Diceros bicornis minor: one gene and its partner. The protein of the gene in region 1 purifies or fractionates together with the protein of each later gene. This does not show direct contact. Links are inferred from orthologs where the notes say so. Each region holds a gene or a part of one and is shown on either strand. Other genes may lie near its edges.

Region 1 (6,898 bases):
CTTTGAGCTTGAAGTGGCCTCTTAAATTAAGATAACACAGTAAGCAGCAGGGGCAGGCCTTCTGATCCAAGTCCAGCGTTGTTTTGCATCACACCAGCAAGGCATAAAACTCAATTTTGGCACGCCCTCCCCCCAACTCCATTCTAGAAATTCAGCTCACTTTATAAGCCCTTGTCAGAGAGGACCTGGTGCCAGTCAGCTAAAGTCCACTGTTGAAAAGGAAGGAAACTCCCCAACTTCTAGACAGTCACATAATCGACAACCAGAAAAACGGAGTATTTCGTCACACACTAACACCTCTGCATGCCAGAGACCATTCCTCGGGTGTTTAACCAGCAGAGTGGAGATAACGATTTCCAGAATTCCCTCACTGACCAAGGGTAGCTCAGGTTCTGGGAGCCAGTTTGAGCGTTGCGGCCTGAAGGATTCTCATTGCACAGGCCATAAGAGAACACACGAAGGCTCCTCCTTGTGAGCTTCTCTGATGTAGAAACCACGTCAGCGGACAATTTAGGACAGTGTTGTCTAAGGTCTGACCCATGAGAGGCCTGATGCCTGTATTTTATCTCTTTGGGTTTCACCCAAAAACGTAACTGGACATGGCGTAAGCGATGTCCCTCCCGACCCCAGAGACACATCTCCTTCTTCATTTCACTTATTTGGCTCCAAGTATGCATGCCTCTCTTCTCAAGTCGCTGAGTATAGGTGGACACACAGTGACTCACGGGAGGAAGGATGGCTGGGAAGGAGGAGCCTGTGGGCAACCTCAGGAAGTGAGGAGCGAAACAAAGGGAAGCCACCCAAACTCTGAGCTGGGTTTTGAAGCTCTGCTGACCTCCCAACCTCTCATCTCACTAGCACCTAAAGCTGCCAGAACTCCTGGTTTAGAATCACTGTATCATCCAAGGAGGTAGATAAGAAAAAGATCTTGGGGCTGGCCCAGTGGCGTAGTGGTTAACTTCACATGCTCTGCTTTGGCAGCCCAGGGTTTGCAGGTTCGGATCCCGGGCGTGGACATACACATCGCTCAACAGGCCGTGCTATGGCAGCACCCCACATACAAAAAATAGGGGAAGATTGGCAACAGATGTTAGCTCAGGGCAAGTTTTCCTCACCAAAAAAATAAATAAATAAAAGAAAAGAAAAAAATCTTAACCCCAGCCTCCTTCCAAAGCCCAGTGCCTGAACGAACACTAAATGGAAAGCCCTCCTGTCTTGACCACAGTCCCCCTCACCTGAACAGAGAAACCCTCCTTCTGGCGGGCAGCAAGCTCTCCACCTGCTCTTTGGTGTAGCAGAGGTGCCGCAGCAGTGACTTCTGCTTGATGATATACAGGAGCTCTGCCAGAAAGAAGGAGTCTTCCTCACTCAGCAGCTCCTCTGTCAAGAGATGGTCAAAAATATGCAAGGCTGAGCTGGACTTCTCTAGCTTCTTGTGGGAGACACAGTCTCGGCAGAGAAACTTCAAGCGTTCCACATCTTGATCCCCCAGGTTTGAATCAATAGCCAGAAGCTTCCCTCGAAAGTTCATTGTACAGTTATCATCCATACTGGAACTCAGGCTTTGAGGTTGAGATGTCATGGCCAGCCTGTGAGAGACAGAGAGGTGGGGCATTAGAGAGAGAGGACACACAACACCCTAGCTTCCCACGCCCTCCTCCAGTTCAGGCTCCCTCTGTTCCAGGCATTAGACTTTGCTAGAAGAGCTGAAAAATAAAAATCACTGCAAGCTTACTTCAAAAACCAACAGCCCAGAAAACTCAACCCCAATACTTGTACATTAACCCTTTAGGAGGTCTGGAGTTTATGGAACTCAGTTTACCCTGATTTCTCCGGTGGGGGCTAGTCAAAAGGGAGCATGACACAGCACACTTTCTCCCGCTTGGAGCTCTCGATTCATTCCCACCAAACGGCAGAAACAGCACTTAGATTTATGCCTTTCGTTTTAGAAATAAAGCCATCTGGGGGCTTGTATTTCTGAAGTGTCTACCAACCCAAGGACAACAAGATAACACTGCTAACCATAACGGGGCAGGCCTGTGTCTCTCATAATCAGAAGCCACAATCCCAGACCCCGGAGAGAAACGGTTTTAGACAAGGGCTGCTCAGATCAATGCAGGAAGTCACAAATGACCTAAGTAGGTATTTCCACCTGACCAGTTCATAAACTGTGGTATTTTCTACACTCAATTTCATTCTAATCAGAGGAGCAATAAATTGATAAAATTTTTCAATGTAATATTACTCATTCTATAATGACTTGAGGTATATATTCACCATGCAAGTCTTGGCTATTTAGAAACAAGAAACTACTGTCTAAAGGAAGGAGAACATAGCAAGAAACAAAACATCAATAACAAAGAGTGATTCTATCTAGGTGGTAAGATTATAGATAATATGAATTTTCTTCTGGGTTCCTGTCTGAGTTTCTCAAATTTTATGCAATGAACATATATTACTTTTACTGTTAGAAAAAAGAAACTAAAAAAAAAATGCCATTTTAATGTGATCATCCTTGAGATCTCCCCTCTAGCCGCCCTGTGAGAGTAGAAACCGAATGATTGGTTTCTGGAATCATGTTCCTATTCTCACGCATCACGCATTTGCCTTGTAGCTCCCTGAAGATTCCAATCTCCAGCTTTGGCAAGCCTGCACTCCGTTCTCGGACTAGCATATTCCTGCCGGTAAAAGGCTGTGTTGGAGCCTTCCTGGGGCTTTTTAAACTTTCATTTTTCCTGGCACGGCTAATCAATCCAGGCAGAAACAGTGCCGATGCTGACAAGAGTTTTTGCAAGTTTCTCTGCCCTGAACAAAGGAGAAGGCTAGAGAGGGAGACCCAGCAGGAGAGAGTTAACTACATACCTTCAGATCAAATTCCACCGATCCTCTGGAGGTAAATGGTTCTTGGGGAAATTGCCTGAAAACAAAGCTTTAAAGAGATTAGAAACTTCTGGGTGCTCCAAGTTCCAAGGAAGCTCCCATTTGCGCGGGAAGAGAACTTGAGACTACAAGCGAAAACTAGATCTGAGTAATTTGGTATTAGTTTCCTGCTGACGTCATCAATACCTCCTATGCCTTTTCCCCTCCCCTTCCCTGGGGTTAGGATAACCCTGACCAACAGCGTCTCCTAAAGGCGGTTTCACAACTTTCCCAGCGGGGAGCTGGAGATGTTCCAGGAGAAGCCCAGAGCTCCTACACAACGCCTGGAAGGCACTGAGCGCTGTAGCCTCGGGCCGGGTCAAGAAAGGAAGTGCTGATTTTCCTAACCATCTCCTGCCCCAAACGCACTTAACTTTAAAATAAAACCCCAAAAGCTCATGAAATAGGGGTCAGCCATCTTAACCCTTTCTCAAATAAGGCCATGTGCAAATCAACAAAAAACATTTTAAAGGCAAAAAAGGGAGGGGGAGTGGGACCAAAAGGCTGTTTGGAGGTATTTGCAAGGAACTCCATTAACAGTAGACAAAACTGATAAATCTGCCCTCACAGCACATTCAGGCCAGCAGGAAAGAGACTTGGAAGACATTATTTCTAATAATAAAAACAATACCTAATGCTTTTTCACAACTACCATGTGCCAGGCATGATTTACTCATTGAATCACCCCAAGTCTCTAAGATAAATACTTTTACTATAATGCCTCTTTTAGGATGTGAAAAGAAGCTTAAGTAGTTTGTCCAAGGTCACGCGGTGAGCTAGTGGGGAAGCCAAGATTTAAACCAGCAAGTTTAGTTCTAAGTCACTACACCATAATTCACCTAATTCAAATGTGCAGAGCTCCAGGAAGAAGTACAGAACCTTAGAAAGAGGTTTTATCTCTGAAAAAAAGTAAGATTTATGCTTTATTAACAGATGTATTAAAGTGCCATTTCCACATCCGAGGCATTATCCAGAGAACTTCTGTGTTGAAGGAAGACAAGCCCTGCCCCCTGTGGCACAAGTGCGCATGCTGCGCTGCAGCGGCTCGCGGTTGGCAGGTTCGGATCCAGGCGTGCACAGATGCACCGCTTGTCAAGCCATGCTGCGGCAGCATCTCATATAAAGTAGAGGAAGATGGATGTTAGCTCAGGGCCAATCTTCCTCAGCAAGAAAAAAAAAAAGAGGAGGCTTGGCATCTGATGTTAGCTCAGGGCTGATCTTCCTCAGCAAGAAAAAAAAAAAGAGGAGGATTGGCATCTGATGTTAGCTCAGGGCTGATCTTCCTCACACACACACACAAAAAAGACAAACCCTAGTGGTGATGGTTGCACAACAAGGTGAATGTTCTTAATGTCACCGAACTGTACACTTAAAAATGGTTGAAATTGTGGGAGATCAAGATTTGGCCACCCTGAAATATATCTCTTTACCTTGATTGTTTTCTCTGACGGACATTTGACCTCCCCAACTAACTGCCTGAAGAATTTGACATAGTAAGTCCTTCCTGGAACAGATTTTCTATCTGATGGCTGTAATATAATGTAAAATAGATGTTACAATAGGAAAGGCACCAACAAGCCCATTTCTTATCAAAAATTCTGTCTCTCTGGCCACATTCTCTAGATCGCCCTGCAAGGAGTTGCCAAACATTTACATTTATAAGGGAAATCTCCATTTGTAAAGGTATCTCCCTCTCTGTATTGGGAAGAGGGGGGATGACCTCATTTCTAGAAACTTATCAGTGTGGAAGGTGAGGCCTTAAATATGCATAATAACCTTACTCTTGTTTACTGTGCTTTAGTGGTAATCTCCCGTAACTGACTCCCCTCACCCCCAACATCTTCCTTTGTCTTTAGCTGAAGATGGTATTTAACAAGAGAATTTCTGCTATTGTGTTGAGAAACTCAGCATCCCTGGTTTCGCCCATGTATACATGTTATTAAACTTGGTATTATTTTCTCCTGCTAACCTGTCTTGTTAATTATTTGGCCAGCCAGAAGGACCTTAAGGAAAGGGGCAGAGGGATTCTCCCTCTTCCCCCACAAAATGATACATTTCATGTTGTGTATATTTTACCACATTTTTTTTTTTAAAAGCTAGGGACAGACAAGCCCTAAGTCTGGGTCTTCTATTCAGTTGTTCAATTATAACTATTTCTTTCCTTGGGCCATTTGGGGAGGCAATCTGGTGAAACTATCAATTCTTACCCTCTTCATAAAGTACATTAGCTTTTTTAACCTTCATTCTATAATATTAAATATTTAGCAAGCTCTTCCTACATGTAAAGCTCCGAATTGGGCACCGTTGGAAAGCAAAAGTGAATAAAACACAGTGTCTGCCTTCCGTAATCACTCTGACTACTGCCATTTCTTGATCCCTTCTTCTCTGATGAACTGTCTAGAGTTGGCACTATTATCCACATTCAATAGAGGAGGAAATCAAAGTTCAGAGAGGCGAAGTATCCTGCCATTATCCCAAAGCTAGGAAGAGACGGGAATTCAGCACTCAAAACTAGGTGTCTCTGATTCCAGATCCCAGCTCCTGATCCCAAGGTTTCTGCTGCCTGTAACTCCACGTGACCTAAGGTAATCTTGGTAACTGTTGGGCAAGGTGTGGTGATGCTGCGAGGGGCTTCACCTAAGGGCCACAGGAGCCCCAAGGAGCAAGGGATGGACCCAGATGGGGGTGCCTTAGAGGAGGAGATATTGAGCTAAGCCTGGAAGGCAGAGGTGGAAGAGAGACATCTCGAGTCAAAAAACTTTACCCTAGTACTGCTAGCACTCAAGGGAAACCCTTGAACCAAGTTACAAAGGGGAGACAGTGTGCTACGTCCTTTGTACTCAGCATTGCACACTTCTTTCCATTTAGAACACAACTTCTGAGGGCATGGTGATGGGGAGTTGGTAGCAGTGGAAAGAAGAAACATTTCTTACAGCCTCTTTCCTGATTGGTTGCAGTCAACTGGGCCCACACGAAGAGCCAATCAAAACCTTCAGAGCTTTTTACAGTGGTGGGAATCTATTCCTGCCCTGGTGACTGACAAAGGGGAAATACTCGCCTGCCTCTCTTTCCCCCTGGGGAGGGGGTGGTTGGTGGCAGGAGTTGGCTTTCCCTTACATCGAGGATCTGGTCCAAGTTCCCCACCCTCAAAGTCTATAAAAGTAGACTTCACAAAACTCATGAACTAGATAATGAACACAAGTGACAGTGGAGGTGGGTGTACCAGCTGGAGAGGAGCTCACGCCCCGAGGCTTCACGGCACCCACCGGTCCGAAGTACTAAAATCTTTGGATTAGCCATCCCGTCCCTGCCTTCCAGGGCCCCTCCCTCCCTCCCTCCTCTGTCCACGCTCCAGACCTTCCCAGAACCAGTTTTATTCCGGGTATATGGGAGTACGGTGAAGCTAAGTTCTGAACGGGAAGACTTTTTCAGATAAGGATCCCAGCACAGATCTCCAAATACTGAAATCCAACATGACCAAGGAATGGCTTGAGCTAAAGCCGACCCTTGAGATCTCCAGATAGTCAACCAGCAGGAAATTGTAGCTAGACAAGTAGAGTGCAACACGTTTTGTATTCACTCTACTACAAACTGATCTATTTTAACATGTCTCTTTTCTTATTACAAAAGTGGCAAAAGAAGGAGGAGGAGGAGGAGGAGGAGGAGGGGGAGGGGGAAGGGGAGGGGGAAGGGGAGGGGGAGAAGAAGAAGAAGGGAAGAACTTCCAATATTTAGTGTAGAAAAGTTGGAACATAGAGAAACACAGTTATTCATAGTCTATAACTACTGTTAAAATTTTAGCATATATCCTTTCACTTTTCTCTTTTTGTATTATTTTCCAAAAATTGAGCTATACTGTTTTCTCTTAACAATACATATGTTTTTTTCATATCATTAAATGGTGTTTGAAAACATAACGTTTAGTAGCTACATGATATTCTCTTCCATGGATGTACCATATTTATTTAACCAATTTCTA
Region 2 (7,544 bases), on another chromosome or scaffold:
GAAAAGAAAAATAATATAAGGATTGGAAGGGAAGATTAAAAATTATCGTTATAAATATATATTATCCATAATATATATCTATATAGAAAAAAAGCAACAGAAATCAATAGACACACTATCAGAAGTAAAAACAGAGTTCCGCAATTTGCAAGATTCTAGATTATTTATTACAAAATAAGGAGTATTTACCTAAACCAGTAATAGCCATCTGTATTAGCTATCTATTGCTGGATAACAAATGACTCCAAAATGTAGTGGTTTAAAATAACAAATATTTATTACCTCACAATTTCTATGGATCAGGAATTCAAGCTTGGCTTAGCTGGGTGTTATAGACTAAATGTTTGTGTCCCTTCCAAATTCATATGTCAAAACTCTACATTCTAACATGATGGTATTAGAAGATGGGGCCTTTGGGAAGAAATTAGGATTAGATGCAGTCATAAAGGTGGAGCCCTTATGAATGGGATTAGTGCTCTTATGAGAGTCATGAGAGAGCTTGCTTCCTCTCTCTGGTTCCATCATATGAGGATACAATGAGAAGTGCTATCTGCAATATGCAAACCACAGTCTTTTTATAAGTTAGTCTTAGAAGCACTATCTCATCACTTCTGCTATATTCTATTCGTTAGAAGTGAGTCAATAAGTCTAGCCCACACTCAAGAGAAGGCCATTATAAAGGGCATGAATACCAGGAGATAGGGGATCATTAGGTCATCTTATAGACTACTCATCTAAAAATACCACAGAAAATAAGGCACTACTTATAAGCATAACAAAATTACAAAGTATCAAGCAATTTATCTAAGAAAGAATATGTAAACTTGATATATGATAAATATACTGCTGTAATTCAGTGGGGGAAAAGATGGCTCGTGTTGGGAAAACTGGTTCATATGTGGAGAAAAACAAAGATGGACTTATTTCACATCACACACAAACGCGAACTCCAGACAGATTAAAGCCTAAATATGAAATTTGTGGTGGTGTGGGAGAATTTACTTGCAATGTCTAAAAGCAACAATGGATTAATATCTAGGATATAAGGTACGAGGAAACCCTGGGAATCAGCCCAAGAGAAATAAGAAACCCAGTTAAAAGATGGACATGGTGTATGAACAGGAAATATACACAAAAGGGAAAATGTGAAGGTCTAACAAGTATATGACGAGATATTCAACCTCAAAAGAAATCAGAAAAAGGAAAACTAATAGACGAGATACAACTTTATAACCCTAATGCTTGGTAAAAATTAGAAAGATGAATAATACCAAGTAGAGATGAAGACATGGGATAAGATAGTCATGTTGGTGTTGGTGTCAATAGATTCAGCCACTGTGACGAGCAGCCTGGAGGTACTTAGTGACATTAAATGTGTAGGGTACATGTTTGTGAACAGACTCCAGTTAAGAGTGCACTGGGGCCTTTGCTCACCTCTGGGGATGATCAGCTGCTATTTTCATCATGCACCATTCTACGCTCCTGCCCAGTCACGGCTAGAGCTCTGGGCTCCGGCCCACTGAGTTAACTTCCCTGCTAAGACACTGGATGGGTGGGAAGAAATAGGTGGCCCTTTTCCTTACCACTCTGTCCTTTTAAATTCCACAAGACTAACACACTAAACTGGGGAAGCACACTTGAATCCTTTTACTAAAGGGTCAGGACAATTTCTGAAGGGAATTACAATGCTAGAGGGACCATAATTAAAGACAATTTAAAATTTCATCTAATGAAATAGATGAAAGATACTTTAAAAATTCTAACAACTTGCACAAGGAAGTTTCTCTGATTTGGTCCTGCACTTAAATGTGCTCCCAAGTCTCACCCATTATCTTTAAATCTCTGTGACTGGCAATCCTATCCCTCCTCCTGAAAGAAATCGCCAGCTCTGACTCTCTCTCTGCTGTCCATCCTCAAGGAACCTGGTTGCAGAACCAGAGATGCAGGCTCAAGTAAGGGGGATACGGTGAAGATGACCGAAGCTCTTCAACTTGGGTTTTCCATGTGTGGAAGCTGCCAGCCCGCTGGCTCTTTAGTTTATCTGTTCAGTGCATCTCTCGAAGGCGAATATATATATTTTTTTCTTCAGCAATCACAGAGCTTCTAAGAGACACTTTGAAAAGATTATTTCTGCTAATTAACAAGGTGCTGGTAGTACCCCAAATTGTGATAGGTCCCTGTTATTGTCTGCAGTGGTGGTTATTTTTCCATGATCTTGCCAACTTGTGATGTTTGGTGGCATCATCACAGAGCGATTCCAGTGTTTAAAGGTGGCTCTCTTTGTCTCTATTCCAGTTCAGACTCTCCCTGTGATTGGAGGGTCCTGGGTGGGCTGGGGGCAGGTATTAAGATTCTGATTCCTCCTATCACAGAATGAATCAAGAGAAGAAGCAGGGCAGAGAGAGAGACGTGAAAATACAGAATAATTCTTATTAAAAAATGCTGAAAGATTCTGTGGCAGTTTGAGACAGAAAAGCAGGGAGGTCTTAGCCTGAAACAGAGGGCCCTTCAGTCCATCAGTTCACTGCTAGAATCTCTGAGGATGCTGGGTGTCAGGCATCAATTTTGTACTTTCCCCAGAAACCTCTCTCCCGCTCTCCACCTTGTTGTAGCCTTAATGGAAGAAGGTCAATTACATTTGGTCTAGAGATGAATTATATGTGGGAAGATTCACTACATTTACGACAACAACAATAAAGTTTGTTGAGTGCTTGCTTTGATGCTAGAGTCTATTTTAAGCGTATCAAATGCTTTGAGTCATTTAATCCTCACAGGGCTGTCTGAAATAGATACTATTATGATCATGCCCATTTTTATAGAGGAGAAAACTGTGGCACAGAGGAGAGAAAGTGGCCTGTCCAGGTCACAGAGCTAACAAGTGGAAGAACTGGGACTTGACCGCAGGCAGTTTAACTCCAGAACCATCTAATACCCCTAACCATCGCTCAACACTTTCCATCCTCCCCATCCAGGATGTGGGGTATTTTTCCACTTATTTGAATCTTTGCTATTTTCAGTAAAATTTTTATAATTTTAAAAATATGATTCTATATAATTTTTGTTAGAGTATTTTCAGGATATTTTAAGGGTTTTTCTTCTCTTTTCTTTCTTTTTTTGAGAAAGATTGGCCCTGAGCTAACATCTGTTGCCAATCTTCCTCTTTTTATTTTTTTCCTTCCCAAAGCCCCAGTACATAGTTGTATATCCTAGTTGTAGGTTGTTCTAGTTCTTCTATGTGGGATGCCACCTCAGCATGGCTTGATGAGCAGAGAGCAGGTCTGCGCTCAGGATCCGAACCTGTGAACCCCAGGCTGCCAGAAGCGGAGCGTCCCAACTTAACCATTATACCGCTGGGCCGGCCTCCAACTTATGAACTTTAAACTTACCATTTTTCATAACTATGAATAAAACCGTACATGAGTTCAAAAGCACATTAAACCTGCCCACCTCTAAAAGACAGTAAGAACCTTGTGCAGTCATTCTGGTCTCATCTGTCACACTGTCTCGTGAATGGAGAGGGGGATGTGGGCAGAAGTGCCTGGAGAGGAGACAGAGCTCGCTGTTGGGGTCTGGCTGTAAAGAGCCTGTGTGTCGTGCTAAGGTTACATTGGGAGTGGGAATGGAGTGGGGTGGGCAGATGGGTGCGGGGTGGGCAGAATGTGGCAGGAAAAGAAGTTTGATGTTTGGTCCAGTGGAGAGCCGGGATGATAGCCGCAGTAATGCCAAAGCATGGAATAGAAACTAATGGAATTCGAAAAGTAGAGTCCTCCAATAAAGCGGAAAATAGAGATTTATGGGAGGTTTATACGGTTTGTATGGGAGAATGCTTGGGACTGGAGCTGAGCTCTAGGAAGTTATTGGCATATAAATGGTATTTGAAGTCAGAGAAAAGGATGACGTCAGTCCAAGTAGAGTTGCCATCTTTAGTAAAAAGCAAACAAACAAATAGGACAAACAGTTAAATTTGAACTTCAGATAAACAACGAAGACTTTTTTGGTATATTCCATTTAATGTTTAGCGCATAGTTATCCTAAAAATTATTTAATGGTTATCTGAAATTCAAATTTAACTAGGCACCATGTATTTCATCCAACAACCGTAACAGAGGCTGCAAACAGAAATGCCCAGAGGGACCGGGAAGGCCACTTCATGTGGCCGATGGTGTGTGGACCAGTGGAGGGTGATGCAGGCTGGGCAACCTGCAGCACCTATGTCTCATCCATGGGGCAGCTGCTGCCCAGCTCCAGCTGACGGGGTTTGCAGAGATGGCCTTGAGATGTCCAACATTCTAATGTTTCAAAACAGAATAGAAGTATATATATCTTTATTTGGAATATGCCAATTTTAAAAAGGGACAACCAATGAAAAGAAAAAACATCGTGAGGCACAAACAAAGCAGGTCTGTGGGTTCCACAAGGCATACGGGCCACTGGCTTGTAACCTCTGATCTAATCTCTAGAGAGTGGGTGGGGCAGGTTTTTAACCTGTAAATTACAGTGCTGTGCAATGTCAGGGTGAAGAGCACTTCGGCGTGGGGAAGGGGTGGCAGCAGGGGATGATTCCCTCATGCAAAAGGTAAGACGTGGACGCGACTCCTCTGGCCACAACTCCATGGTCTCGCCCCTCAGTGCCTGAACACGCCCCCTCTGGTCACTGTCCCTGTGGCTGGGCAGTGGTCAAAGCCCACAGGGCTGCACCCAGTGCTACCTGCTCTCGCAGGGCCTGAGAAAGACGAGCCTACCCTACCAGCCTTTCAGGTAGCAGGGCACTTTGAAGGCTTTCATCAGAAAATTGTGGGCGGAAACTTCCCGAGGTTCACTCTGAGCTTCTTGAGGCTTCTCAGCTTCAGATGCAGAGTGAGTGGGTGTCTCTCTGAGAAGCAAAAAGAGAGAAAGAGAGAGAACGAGAGAGAGGTGTTTCCCTTGGCTATGGAAACTCTATAAAGAGAGAACCTGCTTCTCTTCTCTCCAACAGTCGGCAACTCCTAGCCACCTGGGCCTCCACAGGATTGAGAAGAAGGAAAATCCTTTGCTGGGGGCTGGCCTGAGTCACTGGCTGCCATGCAGCAGCACCTGAATTACTCGTACCCCCAAATCTACTGGGTGGACAGCAGTGCCAGCTCTCCCTGGGCCTCTCCAGGGTCAGTACTCCCCTGCCCATCCTCTGTGCCAGGAAGGCCAGGGCAAAGGAGACCACCACCACCGCCCCCAACAACACTACCACCACCGCCACCACCACGGCCACCACTGCCTCCACTACCACGGCCACCTCCGAAGAAGAGGAGGGACCACAACACGGGCCTGTGTCTCCTCGTGATGTTTTTCATGGTTCTAGTGGCCCTGGTTGGACTGGGGCTGGGGATGTTTCAGCTCTTCCACCTACAGAAGGAGCTGGCCGAACTCCGAGAGGTGAGCCAGCATGGGCGTGGGGACTGCTGTGCCCTGGAGGCACGGGCGGGAGACAGCTCTGCTGCAGGGGAGGGTGTAGGGCTACCATGGTCCACCGGGACCACGGTCTTGCTTGCAAAGTACTTTTGATCCTTTTTTCTTAGAAATGGATCATCCCAGTCATTCTATTCTATAGGCAGAGAAATGGAGGCTCAAATGAGTGAAAAGAGTATTTTCTATCTGGTAAAGAATAAGGGCCAAAATAGGACTGGCACTTACAGTTCTCCCTTTCTCACTTGGCACGTCAGCCCGCTGAGCCACTGCCTACCTCAGGCTTAGTGATTGAGGAGACAAGGAAGTTTTGAGTCTCGCTTAGAAGTGAATGTGTTCAAATGGCCAAACTAGATTTCCTTGAAAATACCTAAAAATATCAGAACTATTCCAAGTCACAAAACTGAGGCAGGGTGAGGCACAATTGCTTGGCCAAAGTCTAAGGTAGGAGAGATTCTGAGGTACTTAGATTCCCTTTCCAGGGCTTGGTTTATTTGACAATTCTGCCTTCTTTGCTTTAAGAACTTCATATTTATTATACATCTTTTCTTTTTCTCTTTTGCCAGTCTACCAGCCAAAGGCATATACCATCATCTTTGGAGAAGCAAATAGGTGAGTCTTTTTATGCATGTATATTGAGTTTCCAAAGATAGTCTTCAGAGCTGAACCATGTTGATGGAATGCCTTGAATTCGTTCTTGGGCATACGTATACTACAAGAGGTATCCTGGCTAATTCTGAATCTTTGGTCATTTTTGTTCCTTGAGCTGGCCTAAAATATGAAGTGAATTTAATTGTTCAAAATCAGTGTCGCTGAGTACTGCACGCAATTCAAAATAATTTCTGCTTGACTTTGGAAAAAGGCACACGTGTACAACTTTAGATCTTTGTCCCCTGAGCAGCTGGCTCCAGGCCTCTCCCCTTCTTCAGACCTTCTGGTTCCTGTATACAAACCAGTGGCTATAACTCCTCAGTAGAGAGGGGGAGGTCAGGGCAGAGAGATATGTTTCTGGGAAAGGTCCTCTCCTCTTTAAGCTCTCTAAGAGATTACTTAAAAGTCAAGCTTTATTCTAAAAATATTTTATAGGATATATCTAAGCTTTTAAGAAGGGGCAATCAGTCATTCACATTAGGATGGTTCTTTTGCAGTCACTGGAAAGCTTGGGGGAAGACTTTAGCCCTTATTCAAAGGGTAGTCCAGTTTCACCCACAAGGGCAATCATGAGCTACTTTTGCTAATAAAGGAAAATCCTTCCTATGAGATCCAAGACAGGAAGAAGATGAAAATGTTGAACAGTGACCTCACGAAGTTTCAGGATATAGTTTTGGAAATTGTGAACAGATAGATTTAGGATACTCCAGGTCATTAAACTAAGTTCATTGAGCTTTAGATTTGGCAAGTGTTGGAAGAGAGCTTAGAGAGCATCTGGTCCAGTAATCTCATTTTTCGGAAGAGAATCAAAATACCAGACAGATTAGGCGATATGTCCAAGATCACTGGTGTGGAACTGGGGCTAGAAGGAACACAGGCCCCTGATGCCTTGTCACCGACAAGGCTTTCTAGTATATGGACTGGTGCCTCATGAAATAGGGAAACTCTCATCTCTCTATGTTGGCCACGGAATGAGAAACAAAGATGACAAGCAAGATGCCTTTGCAAAGACAATAGGTAAATCTCGCCCTTAGAAACTGGGAAGAAAGCAGAAGGCAGCACTGGTGACCAGTGAGGGGAGCCTGTTCCAATTTCTCAAGATGTGCCTGCTGCAGGTGACTCAAGTCATACGGCCCTAGAATGCAAGCTCTTGTAGAAGCCATCCTTAGGATGCTCTGCTCCCTAGTTCTGGATCCGAGTCCCTATGTGTTAGAAATTTCAGATGTACAAAAGCAGAGTAGAAATATTTGTTAGAAAATAAAGTCCCTGGAAGATTTCTAAAATAAAATAGTCTTGAAAATCAGTGGAATGTGGCTGATGAAACAGGTACCTAATTACTCATCTTTCACCCACTCTCTGGAGTCATTTTAGTAATTAAAAGTCAAGTGAACAGATGAGTCAGGTCTACCTACCACAGTATCTTCTCTAGATCAACCCAGATCTAGGATCAAGAA

Evidence for each region.
Region 2: the proteins of CASP10 (region 1) and FASLG purify together in Homo sapiens (co-immunoprecipitation; 3 studies listed by BioGRID and IntAct, with this or other methods). This does not show direct contact. The link is inferred for Diceros bicornis minor from reciprocal best matches to the Homo sapiens genes CASP10 and FASLG.

Annotation. Positions count from the first base shown.
Region 1 is NC_080749.1:79,073,412-79,080,309, reverse strand, and holds the start of CASP10 (caspase-10), read right to left. Parts: upstream 3,010-6,898; 5' UTR 2,863-3,009; intron 1,590-2,862; 5' UTR 1,583-1,589; coding exon 1,236-1,582; intron 1-1,235. UniProt on the Homo sapiens protein: Involved in the activation cascade of caspases responsible for apoptosis execution. Recruited to both Fas- and TNFR-1 receptors in a FADD dependent manner. May participate in the granzyme B apoptotic pathways.
Region 2 is NC_080743.1:93,508,474-93,516,017, reverse strand, and holds the start of FASLG (tumor necrosis factor ligand superfamily member 6), read left to right. Parts: upstream 1-4,525; 5' UTR 4,526-4,576; intron 4,577-4,975; 5' UTR 4,976-5,061; coding exon 5,062-5,409; intron 5,410-6,005; coding exon 6,006-6,051; intron 6,052-7,544. UniProt on the Homo sapiens protein: Cytokine that binds to TNFRSF6/FAS, a receptor that transduces the apoptotic signal into cells. Involved in cytotoxic T-cell-mediated apoptosis, natural killer cell-mediated apoptosis and in T-cell development.